3 linked regions of the Ovis aries genome follow. The protein of the gene in region 1 purifies or fractionates together with the protein of each later gene. This does not show direct contact. Links are inferred from orthologs where the notes say so. Each region holds a gene or a part of one and is shown in the gene's direction. Other genes may lie near its edges.

Region 1 (4,911 bases):
GGAGAGAGAAATGGTGTTTGGAGGGTTCCCTTGCTGCCACTGCCCCCAGCCCCGCCCCTGCCCCCAGCTTCATCTTCCTTCCTCCTCCCTCCCTGAGAGAACGTGTGTCTCCAACCATTTATGATTGTGGGGGTTCCTGCTGTTAATGAGGGCAGCTTGGTGGCCGGGGTTGAGCCCCAGACCCAGGCCAGCATCATTTCAAGGAGCCTAATTAGGTTAGAACTTCAGGTAGCTGAGCGTGTCTGCTTCCCCGCCCTCCAAGTTCATCTGTAGCTTAGAGAGCAGCAGCAGTGACGTCAGGAGTCTAGTGAAGTCAGCCAGCATTCAGACGCATTTCCAGCACCTGTAGAGTGTGGTTCTGAGCCCTGTGAATTACAGCTCAGAGTGATGCTGTTCCAGGGTGGGGTCATCGATGGCGCCCCTCCACCCCGCCCCCTGTCGTTTCTAGACTGTAATGACCGTGCTGGAAAGGTTTCTGAGGGCCTTAAAGATCAAATCAGTAAGATGAGAAGAAAAACGTCCTACCGAGCCTTTCTAAAAGTGCCCGCTGGACCGGGCTCATCAGTCTGGTCTTTGTGTTTCTCTGTATGTAGCAGCTGATAGACCCTTTTTAAAGGAGCTTTCTTTCCAGGTTGAAAATCAGGACAAATTACTGAAAATCAGGACAAATTACTGTTTTTTATTATAGCCAAAATGCAAGAGGGTCTTCATAACACAAGGGCGATTATCATACAGATGAAGAGCAAGGGTTTTGCTTATAGAGAAGCATTTAAGTGCGGGGGCGACAGGGGGCCCCGGGCGTCTCCCCTTCTCATAGAGCACACAGCATCTGAACCTCAGGGAGTTCAGCCTCCCCTGCCTGTCCCCCACTAAGCACCCAGTAGGGGGCTTGAAGGAAAGGGAGCAAGGGGGCACTCCCTTGTTTCCCCGCCCTCGGTGAGCTGAGCACAGGTGTTCTGGGGCTGGGGCTCCTGCAAGGAGGGGCCCCTGCTGCCCTGGGTGTCCAAGACAGGAGCTTCCAGGGAGGGGGCGCCTCAGAGCCAAACTTGCAGCCCTGGCCCAACCCCAGATCCGCCCTCTCCCCCTGGGAAGCTCACGGAAGTGTCCTTTTAGACTGAAACCTCCCCCATTTGCCCTCCTTTCCCCGCCTTTCTTCTTGTCCCCTCCCCGCCGCCTCTGTCACGCATGTGACCGGCCCTCGGGGTGGATGTGGGGGAGCAGAGCCCTGAGTGGTGACTAGGGGGCTGCTTTCCGGGTCCCTGTGGTGGTGGCCTTTCCTTTGTCGTGGGCCTTCTGGAGCCTAGTGCTGACCCTGACCCTGAATCTGGTGTGTTCAGGCCGCACAGTGTGTGGCTTAGCTGTGGCCGAGAGACCCTTGTCCCTCCAGCCAGCTGCCTGGCCTGTGGTTAGTCCTCCGCTCACTCCTCCCTGAGACCGGGGCAGGGGTGTCCTGGAAAGGTGGTGCGGCCCCTGCACCCCACAGGGGTGGTCTCCGCAGGCCTGAGGCTGGTGGGCCTGGCACTCACGGGCCTGGCAGCGGGGGTCCAGAGCTTAGTGCAGACACGGCTGTGCCCCGTGCAGCGTCACTGAGGTGTTCGTGCCGTCACTTGGAGCAGTTGAGGTGCCCTGAGAAGCGGAGCAGGCCTCCAGGGGTCCAGAGCTTAGTGCAGACACGGCCGTGCCCCGTGCAGCGTCACTGAGGTGTTCGTGCTGTCACTTGGAGCAGTTGAGGTGCCCTGAGAAGCGGAGCAGGCCTCCAGGGGTCCAGAGCTTAGTGCAGACACGGCCGTGCCCCGTGCAGCGTCACTGAGGTGTTCGTGCCGTCGCTTGGAGCAGTTGAGGTGCCCTGAGAAGCGGAGCAGGCCTCCAGGGGTCCAGAGCTTAGTGCAGACACGGTCGTGCCCCGTGCAGCGTCACTGAGGTGTTCGTGCCGTCACTTGGAGCAGCTGCAGTGCCCTGAGAAGCTGAGCAGGCCTCCAGGGCAGCGGCATGTTTCTGCAGTCTGCAGACTGGCAGTCGCGCGGACTCACTGTGATATTAACGAGCACAGTGTTGTGGAGCTCATAATTTGACAGAGTGTATCAAGGATGGCATTAGGGTCTGTTTCAGGGATTCTAGGACACTTCAAACTTACTATCGTGAAGCCACCTTCAGAGGCCCTAGAATGTGCGGTGAGCATGAGCTCTGCGCCTGGTGGTGAACACAGCCCACGTTGCCCACAGGGAGCTTTATTTCAGGATCTGGTACCCAAGAGCCACCTGCTGCTCTGCTGAGGTCAGCTCTCAGGACAGGTGATTGACCAGAGATCCCCAGGGGAGCACCACCAGACGCCAGGGAGACACTGGGCACATCTCAGGCTGGTGCTGGTGTCCGGGTGAAAACCAGGAGCGGTTCTCAGGCCGCAGTGCGCGGCCGCTCCGTCCTGCCCGTCGGCCTCTTCTTTCATCCGTGGCACCTGGCGCCTTGTAAGGTGCCGTGTGGTCTGCTTGTTCGCCCCGGTCGTTGCTTACTCTCCTGACTGCGCTGGAGTGTGTGCTCCAGTGGGCAGCGGTGTGTGTGTGTTTTGTTGTGAGTCCAGTGTGTCCATGTTGTGGAGTTGGTGGCCCTCCCGTGTCAGACTGCACAGCAGGTTCACGACCCGGGATCAGCCGTGTTCGGCATCCGGGTGAAGTCAGCCGTGCTCAGTGTGGGGCTGCAGCGCAGGTCTGCTGGTCAGGGTGGACGGCTGTGAGTGCCCGGGCAGGTGCCGTGTGGGGCCCACGAGGAATAAGGAGACAGGAGATGGAGACAAGATACTTAGTACAAGATACTTAGTCAGACAGTACTTCAGCTGATCAGCAGCAGAATATGAGGGAAAGGCTAAGATGCGTAGCTGAGCTGCAAAGCAAGCAGGTTCACTCACAGTCCAGAGCAGAGTCATGAAGAGTCTGTGAGGCCTGGCCGCGTCCGCACTGGAGTTGTGATGAGCAGGCAGGACTGGTTTCGGGGTGTCCAGGGCTGGGGGTTACTGGGTCTTGGTCAGAGGCAGACTCTGGTGACGTTGTGTGTGTGTGTGTCTGTCTGCAGGAGAAATACTGCTACATCTGCCCTGATATAGTCAAGGAGTTCGCCAAGTACGACGTGGATCCTCGGAAGTGGATCAAACAGTACACAGGGATCAACGCCATCAACCAGAAGAAGTTCGTCATAGATGTCGGCTACGAAAGGTTCCTGGGCCCTGAGATTTTCTTTCACCCGGAGGTAAAGAGGCGGGCTTTCGGAGAGCGAAGTGTGCGTGTGTGGTGGAGCGATGCTGCCCCCTGGTGTCTGTAGGCAGCAGTCCTCGGGCCGCCTTCCTGTGAGGACCGCCGGGCGCCCGCCCCACCCTCAGCAGCTGTTAGAGCACCCTGTGTGATCACCTCCTTGACTGCTGCCCTCTTTAGACCTGGCTCTCTGTTGAAAAGATAGATAACAAGTGATTAGGAAGACGCTTAATCAGAAGATTAAGAGCAATAGAAGATAGTGGAGATGGAGTTGCTCTCACAGTAACCAGAAAATTGGTTGATCCCAGCAGACCCTCAGTGTGGGTGTAGGAGGGCACGTGACCTTTCCATGCTTTGTGAACGTCCGCCCCAACTCCAGTTTTGAACCCCAGACGGTGGGTCCTGCCGTGTTTCCTGCTGCAAATTAAAGTTAGAGCTCCTGTCTGAGCAGCAGCCTTTCCAGCAGTTAGACGGGCTTTAGGAATTACAGGCCTCGCTGTGTTAACTATAGTCACAGAGTTATTATTAACTCTTGCAGGTACAGTAATGGAGAGACAGCATTTTAAGATGTAATAAAATGGGTTGTATTCGTATTTTGGTTTATTTTTCTAATGCAGTTTGCTTTTGCTAGGTCGGTTACACGCTGCTGCCTGTCTCCAGGTGTGTGTGACCTTTCGTGCAGGGAGATGGCTCACAGTATTGCCTCATCACAATCTTAACCCTCATTCGTGCCTTTTGATATTATAGATTTAAAACAGGCACGAAACTGACCATGGCCAGTGAACAGCTGGAGGGCACCCCGTGTTACCTTCCTGAGTTCACTAAAGGTGTCCTTGATCTTTAAAGCATAGTTCAAATTTTTAAAATTGAATTCTTTTACACTTTACCTTATTTGACTTACAGAACTGAGTCAAAGACTGTTTACGCAGTGACGTGACCTTTACCATAGTTTCATTAAAAAGCCACCCCTTCGAGCCGTCGCCCTTGCGCCTCCGCCAGGCTTCTGGCTCAGGTTTACAGTGTGACTGTTCACTGGCTGTGTTTTCTCTTGTATCCTGGGCTGATTGTTAGATGACATTAATACTCATAAGTGATACACTTGTTCTGTACTCACAGTATTTCCATAACATCACACACGTCACACACATGTGACTTACTGTCTCGGGCAGCAGGATTCCCAGTGTCCCCTGATGCACGGCCGGGCGCTCTTGGCTCCTGTGTGATGTTTTCCCCTCAGTGAGCCCACACGTGTCACCGGGACGAGTCACCGTCAGTCACCCCATGCACACTCACTTGGGTTTGTTTGACATACCAATATTTGACGTGGTCATTGCAGCCTGACGGTTTTAAAAGTTACAATACATTCTGTATTTATTAGAGTCACTTAAAAAAAAGTTATTGAGAGAAGTGTGTAATGTTTCTTTTATGTTTGGACAAAATTCAGTTTGCCAACCCGGATTTCATGGAGTCCATCTCGGAGGTTGTTGATGAAGTCATACAGAACTGCCCCATCGACGTTCGCCGTCCGCTGTATAAGGTATCAGCCGCCTGGGGGAGGCGCTCGGGTTTCATCCCACAGCGAGGCCCAGCATTCTTAGAATAGGTTCTTAACATCAGTGTGCAGACCTTCCTGGCGCACCGGGGGCTTGTAGGATTTGTTAAAGGCCAA
Region 2 (4,911 bases), on another chromosome or scaffold:
TCCTACCCAACCTCAGTTGTGAAAATGAAGAATGTCTTGCCATTGCCATATGTCCCCTGGTAGGCAAAACAGTCCCCTTTTGAGAACCACTGTTCTAGTCTTAAAATGAAAGACATCTTGAAGGCCTAGTCTGTTCTGTTCACTGCAGTGTCTGAGAGCCAAGGACCTCAGTACTGCCTGGCTCCTGTGTAGCTGGACTATGGGATCAGTGGATTTTGTGAGACAGATTTTGATTGTCCCTTGGGGTTTTCCTCCAGACTGCCACTCTCCGCCCCTACCTGAGTGCCGTGCGGGCCACACTGCAGGCTGCCCTCTGCTTGGAGAATTTCTCCTCCCAGGTCGTGGAACGACACAACAAGCCGGAAGTAGAAGTCAGGTATGGGAGGAAAGGGGGTAGGGGGTGATGGATGTAGCACCCAGAGAGGACTGTTATCGGAGAGGGCCGTGAACTTCCATCCTGGAGTTGTCAGAACGACTACAATTCACATTTTTTGTCTTGCTGCCAGGTAAATGATGGTTCCCAATTTGAAGTTCAGAAAATTGGGTCTCAGTGGGTTGACAGGACAAAACTCAGGGGAGAAGCTACTCTGGAGCCAAGATTTGCTTGACACAAGTTGTGACTTTTCAACATAGGGCCATTTGGGAAATATCTCCCAAGGAGGTAGTGAACCCTCTAGCAATTTAAGGAGAAGACTTGAGAACTGAATTATCTGAGATGCCATCTCTGCTCTTCTCAAATTTGAAGATCAAGGATCCCTCCCCTCAAAAAACAAATAAACAACTGGACTCCCATCCCCTACTACAAATATTCTATACTTTGGATTATTTTATCTGATTTTTGTTTTGTAAAAAAGTTTTTCTTTTTCCCCTTTGATGTTTAATCTGGTACATATACAACTGAGATAAGGATTGTTACCACAGTAAATTGATACGATTTGAATGTAAGAAAGCTGACATCATGTTAAAATGTGCCCTGTTATGCTACTTAATGTATATGGTTTCCACTAGGCATTTTAAAGGATAATAGCTCACAGACACCAACAATACAATTAACTACCGTCTGAGGGATCCAGAGGCATCAAAATGGGAACTGAGTTGAGAGGGGTCATAATTTTGATTATTAAAGGAGGCCAAACTGTTTGATTTTAGCTTGGCCTTATCTCTAAGGCAGGCTCTCATTCCCTAAACAGTATATGGGTTTCCCTATAGTTATGAAAATAGGAGTTGTCATTTGTAAAGCTCCTACAATGTGCCAGCTCACTGTTACACACTTGACCCTTGTTGATCTGTTTCCAAATGAGGAAGTTGAAATTCCAACAGGGTAACTTGCCCAATGGAAGTAACAAAGGAGGCTGAATTTCAGAACCTTTCACCCTGACTCCAGAGCCTGTGCTCTTTCTGCTGGAGAACATGCTCTCTGGCCCCCATCTTGGAGCACCCCTGCTTGTGAGTCTCATTCCTTGGACTCTGTGGTCCCAGATTGTGATTCTAGAACCTGCCGTGGAGCCTCCCTGACCATTCTGTTCTTTTATAGTACCTCTGTCATTTTGTGTTCTCAGGAGTAGCAAAGAGCTCCTGCTACAACCCGTGACCATCAGCAGGAATGAAAAGGAAAAGGTTCTGATTGAAGGTTCCATCAACTCTGTCAGGGTCAGCATTGCTGTGAAACAGGTGAGCTCACCCCAGATCCCCTGCCTCCCCGGGGAGGCCAGGGATCCCCTATGTAAGAGGTCAACATGCCAGATTCAGGGTGCAAAGAAACCCAGGTTCTCTTTCCAGGAAATGATTTGCTAAACCTACCAGATCAGTAGAATAAAGGGAAATCAGCCTTCTCTCCTAGGCTTGCTCTGGATTAGACAGCAGGTAATGTAGCAGCCAGGGCTGTGGGCCAGTTTGGTGTCAGGTCATAAAACTCTTCCTAATGAGTGAAGAATAAGTTCAGTTCAGACAAACAAGTAGTAATGGTATCAGTTTGATAGCCATAAACTCCAAAAGTGAGATTTAGGGTAAGAAAATGAAGTGTAGTTTCATGTTTCTTCATTGTTTCACAAATGTCTGACATTCCCACTACCCCCATCGTTTCTTCCATGTTTATGGACCACTTGGCTACTTCTTTACTTAATATTTTCTTTCAATTAACTTTTTTTTTTTTTACTTAAATTTACCATAAAAAGAAAAACAATATGCCTTGCCAAATTGAGGACAACACTAAAATGCAAGCACATTGAAAATAAAGCAGAGTTAAGACTTTTGCCTCCAGAAAGCTCTATCCCTAGTGCCTGCTCTTTGTTAAAAGGGGAGATGAATAAATATTGGGGGCTGTTAAGGTCTTGCCAGCCCGTAATACAAAATTCTTTCATCAGAAATGTTGAGAGTTCATTAGGGGAAAACTTTGGGAATTGTTTGATGTTCATTGTTACTAAAGTGGAGACCATCTAAGGTTATCTGATATACTTCATAGTGTGTATCACTGACTGGAAGATGTAGCATTAGTGAAATGAGACTGGAAAGGGCAGATTTGAATCTAGATATGGATTCTGGAAGGATTGGATAAAAGATTGGGGCTTGCCAGGACTTCCCTAGTGGTTCAGTGGTTAAGATTCTGGGCTTCTACTACAGGGGACTTGGGTTTGATCCCTGGTCTGGGAACTAAGATCCTGCATGCCACACGATGTAGCCAAAATGTGTTTTGAAGTTAAAAAAAAATAAGATTTGGGTTTGTCAGAGTTACCTTTCTGGAATGGGTAAAGGCAAGATCATGATAATGCCCCATTAAGTTGGAGGGCTCTCATGTAGTGGACCTTCCTTTTAGCTGGCAACCAGTTATTTGTGATTCAGACTTCAATACCCAACCCCAGTGTCTCCAGCGAGCATAGGGGAATTTGGGCTCCGAAGACCAGGCTACAAATTTCTGTTGGCCTTTAGGGAATGACTTTAGGGAAACACATTTCTTCTTTGTTCTTACCAGGCTGATGAAATCGAGAAGATTCTGTGTCACAAGTTCATGCGCTTCATGATGATGCGAGCAGAGAACTTCTTTATCCTCCGAAGGAAACCAGTGGAGGTGTGTGATCCATGTGTTGGTAATACCCAGAATTCCACTACTGAGTCCACTGTCAGTGGCCTGGGATTGTTTCTAAAACTGGGATTGCTTGCTCCCCACGCTGTAGGGCACCCACAGCCTGAGTTGAGAGTTGGTCTTCATTTCGGCTAGAGTAAGAATAAGGGGAATCAGCTTATAGGAGGTTGAGTCTGTCTCAGCTGTGGAAAAGGCCAAAAAAGATGAGGTGCATTGCTGACCTTCCCAGAGCCTATAGTGTAGTGGCAGAAAGGGCATGATGAATCAGAATTCTAAACTTTGCCACCAATTGAGTCAGTCTCTCAAGGCCACAGTTGATATGGGGTCACTTGTTGCCTGACTTTGTACTTGAGCTCTCACTACAGATTCTCTGCCTGCTCAACTCCCTGCCGGTCAGTGACTAAGCAACTACCATGCAGAGCAGCGGACACCATTGTCAGACACATTAGTTGTTGGCCAAACTCACCCTCATCCTGAGCTAAAATCTCTCCTGTTCCTAGATCTAACCTCCAGGGCCACTAAGAATAAATAAAATTGCTCTTCTACACACAGTCTGAAAAAGTGAAAAACCATAGTTAAAAACCTCAATACCTCCTTCTCCCACAGCATCTTCATTTCTCTCTGGACTAAATGTTCCTGTTGTTTGATGAGATTCTTCTATAACAAGATTTAAAGTCCTTTCACTCTCCCTTGATTCATTCTGAACACAACTGTTTATACCACAGAGAGTCTGCCAGACAAAATTCTCAATTGGGATCAGTTGATCCACCTGTTAGTTCCTTGGAACCAGCATACACACCGCCACCAGAGCAGATGGGCTGCTGCCTGAAGGGTGTGTCACTTGGGAGAAGGTCAGCTGGAAGCATGTGGCTGAGTGACATAGAGGGCTGGCCAGTGAAGTTCCCCAGGATGTTGATTCTCTCTCTCCTCTCCACTGTCTTTCTTCCCTAGGGGTATGACATCAGCTTTCTGATCACCAACTTCCACACAGAGCAGATGTATAAGCACAAGTTGGTGGACTTTGTGATCCACTTCATGGAGGAAATTGACAAAGAAATTAGTGAGATGAAGCTGTCTGTCAATGCCCGTGCACGCATTGTGGCTGAGGAGTTCCTAAAAAATGTAAGTGGAGTGGCCTTCTTGGTTTCCTTTCAGAAGTAGAAAGACCTAAATAAAGGTTGTGCTGAGAACTTAGCATCTGTTGGGGAAATGGTGCCAACTGTGCGTAAATATTTTCTGAGGCCTCTAGGAACTCTGGTGGGCAGCAGGTCAGCCCCATGCCTTGGTGTGGGAAGGGCCTGAGGTTCATCTTGGAGAGCTATAGAGCATCTCCAGGGCCCTGGGCAGTGCCTCTCTTAGTCGTTCACTTCTACGTCTCAGAATATATAGAGTCCTTCCGTGTATCTAGTTCCATTCCCGAGTGAGTCACGTTAAAGCCACATGTGAATTTTCTGGGAATATAGGGCGGTTAATCATAGTGTAATTCCACTTCTCAAACAGAGTCGAATAGTTTCCTTCAGCGTCTGTTTCTCAGGCTTAAAGTCACGATTTCTTGACTCTGTTTTCCATCATTTTCATGGCTTAAGTCCTACAGATCCCTCTTCAGTTGTTTGTGCCTTCCTGACAGAAAGCACTGCCGCCCTCTGAGGAGGACAGATTGTTTACATTGATGAACTGATGACACAGTTCTTTTTTAGACATTCACAGCGTGCCGCCTTTTTTTTTTTCTTCTTTTTCCAAACAGTCTTTGGTTTGTTGACATGTTCCACTCAGAATTGACTATGATCCCTAGATGGTAGAATTAGTGTTTACTCCTACCAGTGCATACAGGT
Region 3 (4,911 bases), on another chromosome or scaffold:
GTTGTTTGGTTTTCCCTCATGTAGAACTTTATTTTCATGTAGTGAAATTGATCAACCTCTATGGCTTCTAGATTTTTGAGTCATAATTAGAAGCACCTTCCCTACTGAAAGGTTGTACAGAAATCTAGCTGCATTATTTTCCTGGTGTTTTTATAGCTTCCTATTTTATGTATAAATCTGACTACTTATGTGTAGTTTCTCTTGGTGCATGATATGAAAGGTAGAGCCATCTTTTTTTCTAAGTGACTACTGCCTGTCCCAGTGGCAGCTACATTACTGGTTTAAGATGCTGCCTTTATCATAGGCTTAATTTCTGTATATATTTGGGTTTATTCTGAGCTTCTGTGGTCAGTTGTGCTTTGATGGAAGAAAGAAATGATATTGTGATGCCGCAGAGAGAAAAAAGAGAAGAAAAAAGAGGCAGTATTGCTGATACATATGTAACAAAGACTCTAAGGCAAAAAGCTGCTGGGTTGGTGGGTTTACTGCCTTTTAAGTGTTGTGTAAGAGAGAAAAACCAAGGAGAAACAAAGGCAGGAGATTGCCTGAATTACAGCCCCGAGTCAGTATATTGTTAACCAACTCTGAAATGTATCACTCTCCATGTACAAAACTGAGAAATGCTGCCAAGTCACCACAGGTTTATAGATACTCCATCTGGTTGTGAACGCCACATGTACCAGTGAACTGGAGCGTTCAAGAAACTTATGAAGCACAAGAAAGTGCTGGCAGGCAGTTTTTATCTGTTCTTCCCGCCGGGGACTAAAAGAGGGAGACTGATAGAAGTTAGAGAACGTCCCAACCCAGTTGCAGAATGAAAGGTATTTTCTAGAGAAAGGCAATTTCAGCAGCGTTGCTTTAAGGATTTTCGTTTTGAATTATCTTGGATCCTTTCCTCCCTCTTCAGATGTTTTTCCTTTGGGGATCAAAGTTCAGAGGGGAGCTCACCTAACCCAGTGATGTTATTTCCCACCAACCTTTGGAAGCTACACAAGGAGTTCAGAAGGCAGGGGGTGAAACAGACGAGCTCCCCGACTGGGCATTAGACCTCCTCAGGTGGTATCCTTCCTTCACATATCTGCTACTGAGGGCTTGCCCGTCCGTGTGTATCCTCCTGCTGCGGGTGAAGTGCAGTCCCTGCTCCTTCCTTTACAGTGTGCTGACACTTTCAGCTAGGGACGTGGTACTTTCTTTCTCATTCTTGTGCTAGACAGTCTCTTTGAAGGGCAGAGGACTAGATACAGCAATGAATAAAAGAATCCTTGACTTGAGGAGCTTAAAACCTGGTAGGGAAGCCAGATGCATTAATGACTAGTGAAATATTACAGTAGAGGTTTGCAGAAAAGCCATGGGAACTCCCACAGGAGAGCAACTAGCTGTGCCCAGGCTGTTGGAGAGAGCGTTATATCTGGGCAGCAGTAGAAAGAAAGTTGTATACTGAAGGGCTGTATAACTTGCTCTCAGTACTCTCAGAAAACTCAGGGACCTTGGAAAACTTTTGGTTCCATCCTTCTGTCCTTCAGAGAGTTTAAACCGTAGGTTTTACTGGCATTGCTGGAAAGTCCAGTCCTGTTATTACAGATCTGGGTTGAAATGGGGATGCCTCGTATCACTTACCTGTTCATACAGGAATGTATGAGTTAGGAAAGCTTGAGATGTGGAGGTTAGGACGGGGAAGAATGGCTTGGTTTTGACATCCTTAGGCATTTTTCTGTAGTTTGCTGAGGGTGGATAGATTTTGTCAAGGGTGAGCTCTTACTTGAGCTCCACTTGACATCTTAATCAAATTTCCTGAAAAATATAACCTCCTTTCATATTAAATCAAAAGAAACTAATAAACTGTCATCCTTATCCTGAACGTAATCTGGTTCTCTGAGTGCTTTGCAATTTGTTGTCTATTTAGCCTTAGAAGTAGTTTTATCATGCATATTTTTCCAAAACAAAAGAAGAGGATTAACAGTGCTTTTCTTTGCTCTTTGAAAATCGGACTTGTTAAGTACTTTGTGATCTCTCCTCTTTGAATCTGAAGTACACTGATGGCAGCCAACACTGGTAATATTTCACGTTGTGCTGTGCTGAGTCGCTCAGTCATGTCTGACCCTCTGCGACCCCATGGACTGTACCCCACCGGGCTCCTCTGTCCATGGGGCTTCTCCAGGCAAGAATACTGGAGTGGGTTGCCATGACCTCCTCCAGGGGAATCTTCCCAACCCAGGGACTGAACCCAGGTCTCCCGCATTGCTGGTGGATTCTTTACCGTCTGAGCCACCAGGGAAGCCCAAGAATACTGGAGTGGGTAGCCTATCCGTTCTCCAGGGGATCTTCCTGAGCCTGGAATCGAACCAGGGTCTCCTGCATTGCAGGTGGATTCTTTACCAGCTGAGCTACCAGGGAAGACCAGTACTTCATATTAGGTGTCATTTATTTTTAGCCTCTGCCGGTCAGAGGGCTCAGAGGTCACATCCACAGGGCAAACCCCAGAGCATAGGTTGCTGCTCTTGCTGTTCATCTCACACCAGATTCTCTTCTGGTTGCTTTTTGCTTCATCCTGGCAGGAGTTCAAAGAAGGACGCAGAGCCAGCCACACAGCCCCACAGGTCCTCTTCAGCCACAGGGAACCTCCCCTAGAGCTGAAAGATACCGATGCCGCCGTGGGTGACAACATCGGCTACATTACCTTCGGTGAGCTGGGCGGGGTTGCTGCATTTGCACACCTTGGTGGGTTCATACTGCAGTTGAAATGGGGCTGAGTGGCAAAAGCAGGTGTGCCAGAGTGTTCCTGTTGCCGGTGCCATGACTGTAGGAGGCATGTCGTGGGGCACTAATACAAGTCATGTGCTGTTTGTATTTTTATACAGTAATCATTTTCCTTTTTTCCCTGTTTTATCTAAATCCTCAGGGAAAAAAAGGATAGCCCCTGGAGTGAAGTAGGAGGGGTTAGGGCCACATAAGCCCTGCTAAGCAGCTAGTTGGGGTTCTCTGTCCTTTGGCGCCTATTGGGTTTTTTTGCTCATTAGACCAGAGCTCCAGCCGTGATTTACTTACCCACTTTCCCTCTGGAAAGATTGACATCCACCCCTCTCACAGTTTGCTTCAGCCTAGTGAGCTGGTTCATTGGTAACAGCTGACAGTTTAGAATCGCAGCTTACACACACACTGACCCTGACAGCACTAAGATGTCCCCTTTTCTGGAGTTCTGCAAGCCACCATAGTGCTGAAGACGCATCCGTTTATCGGAAATAAGCAGGCTGATTAACCAGGTTTCCTTAAGTCTAGTCTACATGCTTTTTTTTTTTTTTTTTTTTTTGGCACGTTACTCTCTCTGAGGTTGGGACAGCCTGTTAACAGTTTAATTAGCAATGTCTCTCTTTGTGGTACATAAACTGATGGTGAACTTACAGTCATTAGCATCTCAGAACCCCTGCAGTATAGTTACCTCCTGGCCTGGTGCTCTTTTCTCTTGTCTCTCTTTGTTTCTCTTTGTCTCTCTTTGTGGTACGTAAACTGATGGTGAACTTACAGTCATTAGCAGAACCTCTGCAGTATAGTTACCTCCTGGCCTGGTGCTCTCTTCTCTTGTCTCTCTTTGTTTCTCTTTGTCTCTCTTTGTGGTACATAAACTGATGGTGAACTTACAGTCATTAGCATCTCAGAACCCCTGCAGTGCAGTTACCCCCCCTGGCCTGGTGCTCTCTTCTCTTGTCTCTCTTTGTGGTACGTAAACTGATGGTGAACTTACAGTCATTAGCATCTCAGAGCCCCTGCAGTGCAGTTACCCCCTGGCCTGGTGCTCTCTTCTCTTGTCTCTCTTGGTCTCTCTTTGTGGTACGTAAACTGATGGTGAACTTACAGTCATTAGCATCGCAGAGCCCCTGCAGTGCGGTTACCCCCTGGCCTGGTGCTCTCTCCTCTTGTCTCTCTTGGTCTCTCTTTGTGGTACGTAAACTGATGGTGAACTTACAGTCATTAGCATCGCAGAGCCCCTGCAGTGCGGTTACCCCCTGGCCTGGTGCTCTCTCCTCTTGTCTCTCTTGGTCTCTCTTTGTGGTACGTAAACTGATGGTGAACTTACAGTCATCAGCAGAGCCCCTGCAGTGCGGTTACCCCCTGGCCTGGTGCTCTCTTCTCTTGAGGGCAGGTGGACCCACAGCGGTCCCACCCTTTCCTAGGTGGCATTTCTTTTCGTTTCAACAAAACCTGATGCTCAAGAACTTTGCTGATGCCGAGATCACTGAGTAGGATAGATGCAGAAGATAGAGGGGATTCCCAGAAGCCAGAGGGAGAGGCGTGCAGGTCTGCCCAGGTGTGAAACTGAGTGACTGACTGCACAGGACTTCATGGGGTCAGGCAGTGGCAAGGGCTTTTCTCAGCCCCCAGCCAAAGCAACTCATCCTGCCATTCCTCCTCAGGAATGCTCAGGTTCTTGTCCCTTCCTGTTTGGTGTTCACCACAGACTACATGATCCTCTATGGATCTAGTTTCTCTGAAAGCTTACTCTGCTTCGGCACCAAGGTCCTGCAACAGGCAGGCTTTGTTCTCTAATCCCCATTGCTCCAGAGTCCACCCAGGTAGCCAGTTGTGTCGTTTTCTAGAGAGACTTCTGAGAGGCAGAAGCTAGTAGATTTCACAGTGCACGGCCGGAGAATCCAGACCCGGAATGAACGCCAGGACCAAGCCCTTTGCCGAGGGAGCCCTGGTTTTTGGCCATGGTCTCCTCCATTTACACTTACTGGCAGAAAACCCTAATGAAACAAGTGGACGGTCCCAAAGCAGGGCAAGATGGGAGCTGACAGTAGGCTGCTGGTCTTTCCACCCTTTGGCATTGGTGTAATTAGACCTTGACACCTTGTCTGTGCCCCCACTCAGTGCTGTTCCCTCGCCATACCAACGCCAGTGCTCGAGACAACACCA

The links.
Region 2: the proteins of ACTR3B (region 1) and ARPC4 purify together in Homo sapiens (affinity purification with mass spectrometry; 5 studies listed by BioGRID and IntAct, counting the BioPlex papers as one, with this or other methods). This does not show direct contact. The link is inferred for Ovis aries from reciprocal best matches to the Homo sapiens genes ACTR3B and ARPC4.
Region 3: the proteins of ACTR3B (region 1) and ARPC2 purify together in Homo sapiens (affinity purification with mass spectrometry; 6 studies listed by BioGRID and IntAct, counting the BioPlex papers as one, with this or other methods). This does not show direct contact. The link is inferred for Ovis aries from reciprocal best matches to the Homo sapiens genes ACTR3B and ARPC2.

The regions. Positions count from the first base shown.
Region 1 is NC_056057.1:116,774,215-116,779,125, forward strand, and holds part of ACTR3B (actin-related protein 3B), read left to right. Parts: intron 1-3,066; coding exon 3,067-3,240; intron 3,241-4,686; coding exon 4,687-4,779; intron 4,780-4,911. UniProt on the Homo sapiens protein: Plays a role in the organization of the actin cytoskeleton.
Region 2 is NC_056072.1:16,888,273-16,893,183, reverse strand, and holds part of ARPC4 (actin-related protein 2/3 complex subunit 4), read left to right. Parts: intron 1-257; coding exon 258-376; intron 377-1,559; coding exon 1,560-1,671; intron 1,672-2,968; coding exon 2,969-3,064; intron 3,065-4,030; coding exon 4,031-4,240; 3' UTR 4,241-4,911. UniProt on the Homo sapiens protein: Actin-binding component of the Arp2/3 complex, a multiprotein complex that mediates actin polymerization upon stimulation by nucleation-promoting factor (NPF).
Region 3 is NC_056055.1:220,286,520-220,291,430, forward strand, and holds part of ARPC2 (actin-related protein 2/3 complex subunit 2), read left to right. Parts: intron 1-2,555; coding exon 2,556-2,682; intron 2,683-4,866; coding exon 4,867-4,911. UniProt on the Homo sapiens protein: Actin-binding component of the Arp2/3 complex, a multiprotein complex that mediates actin polymerization upon stimulation by nucleation-promoting factor (NPF).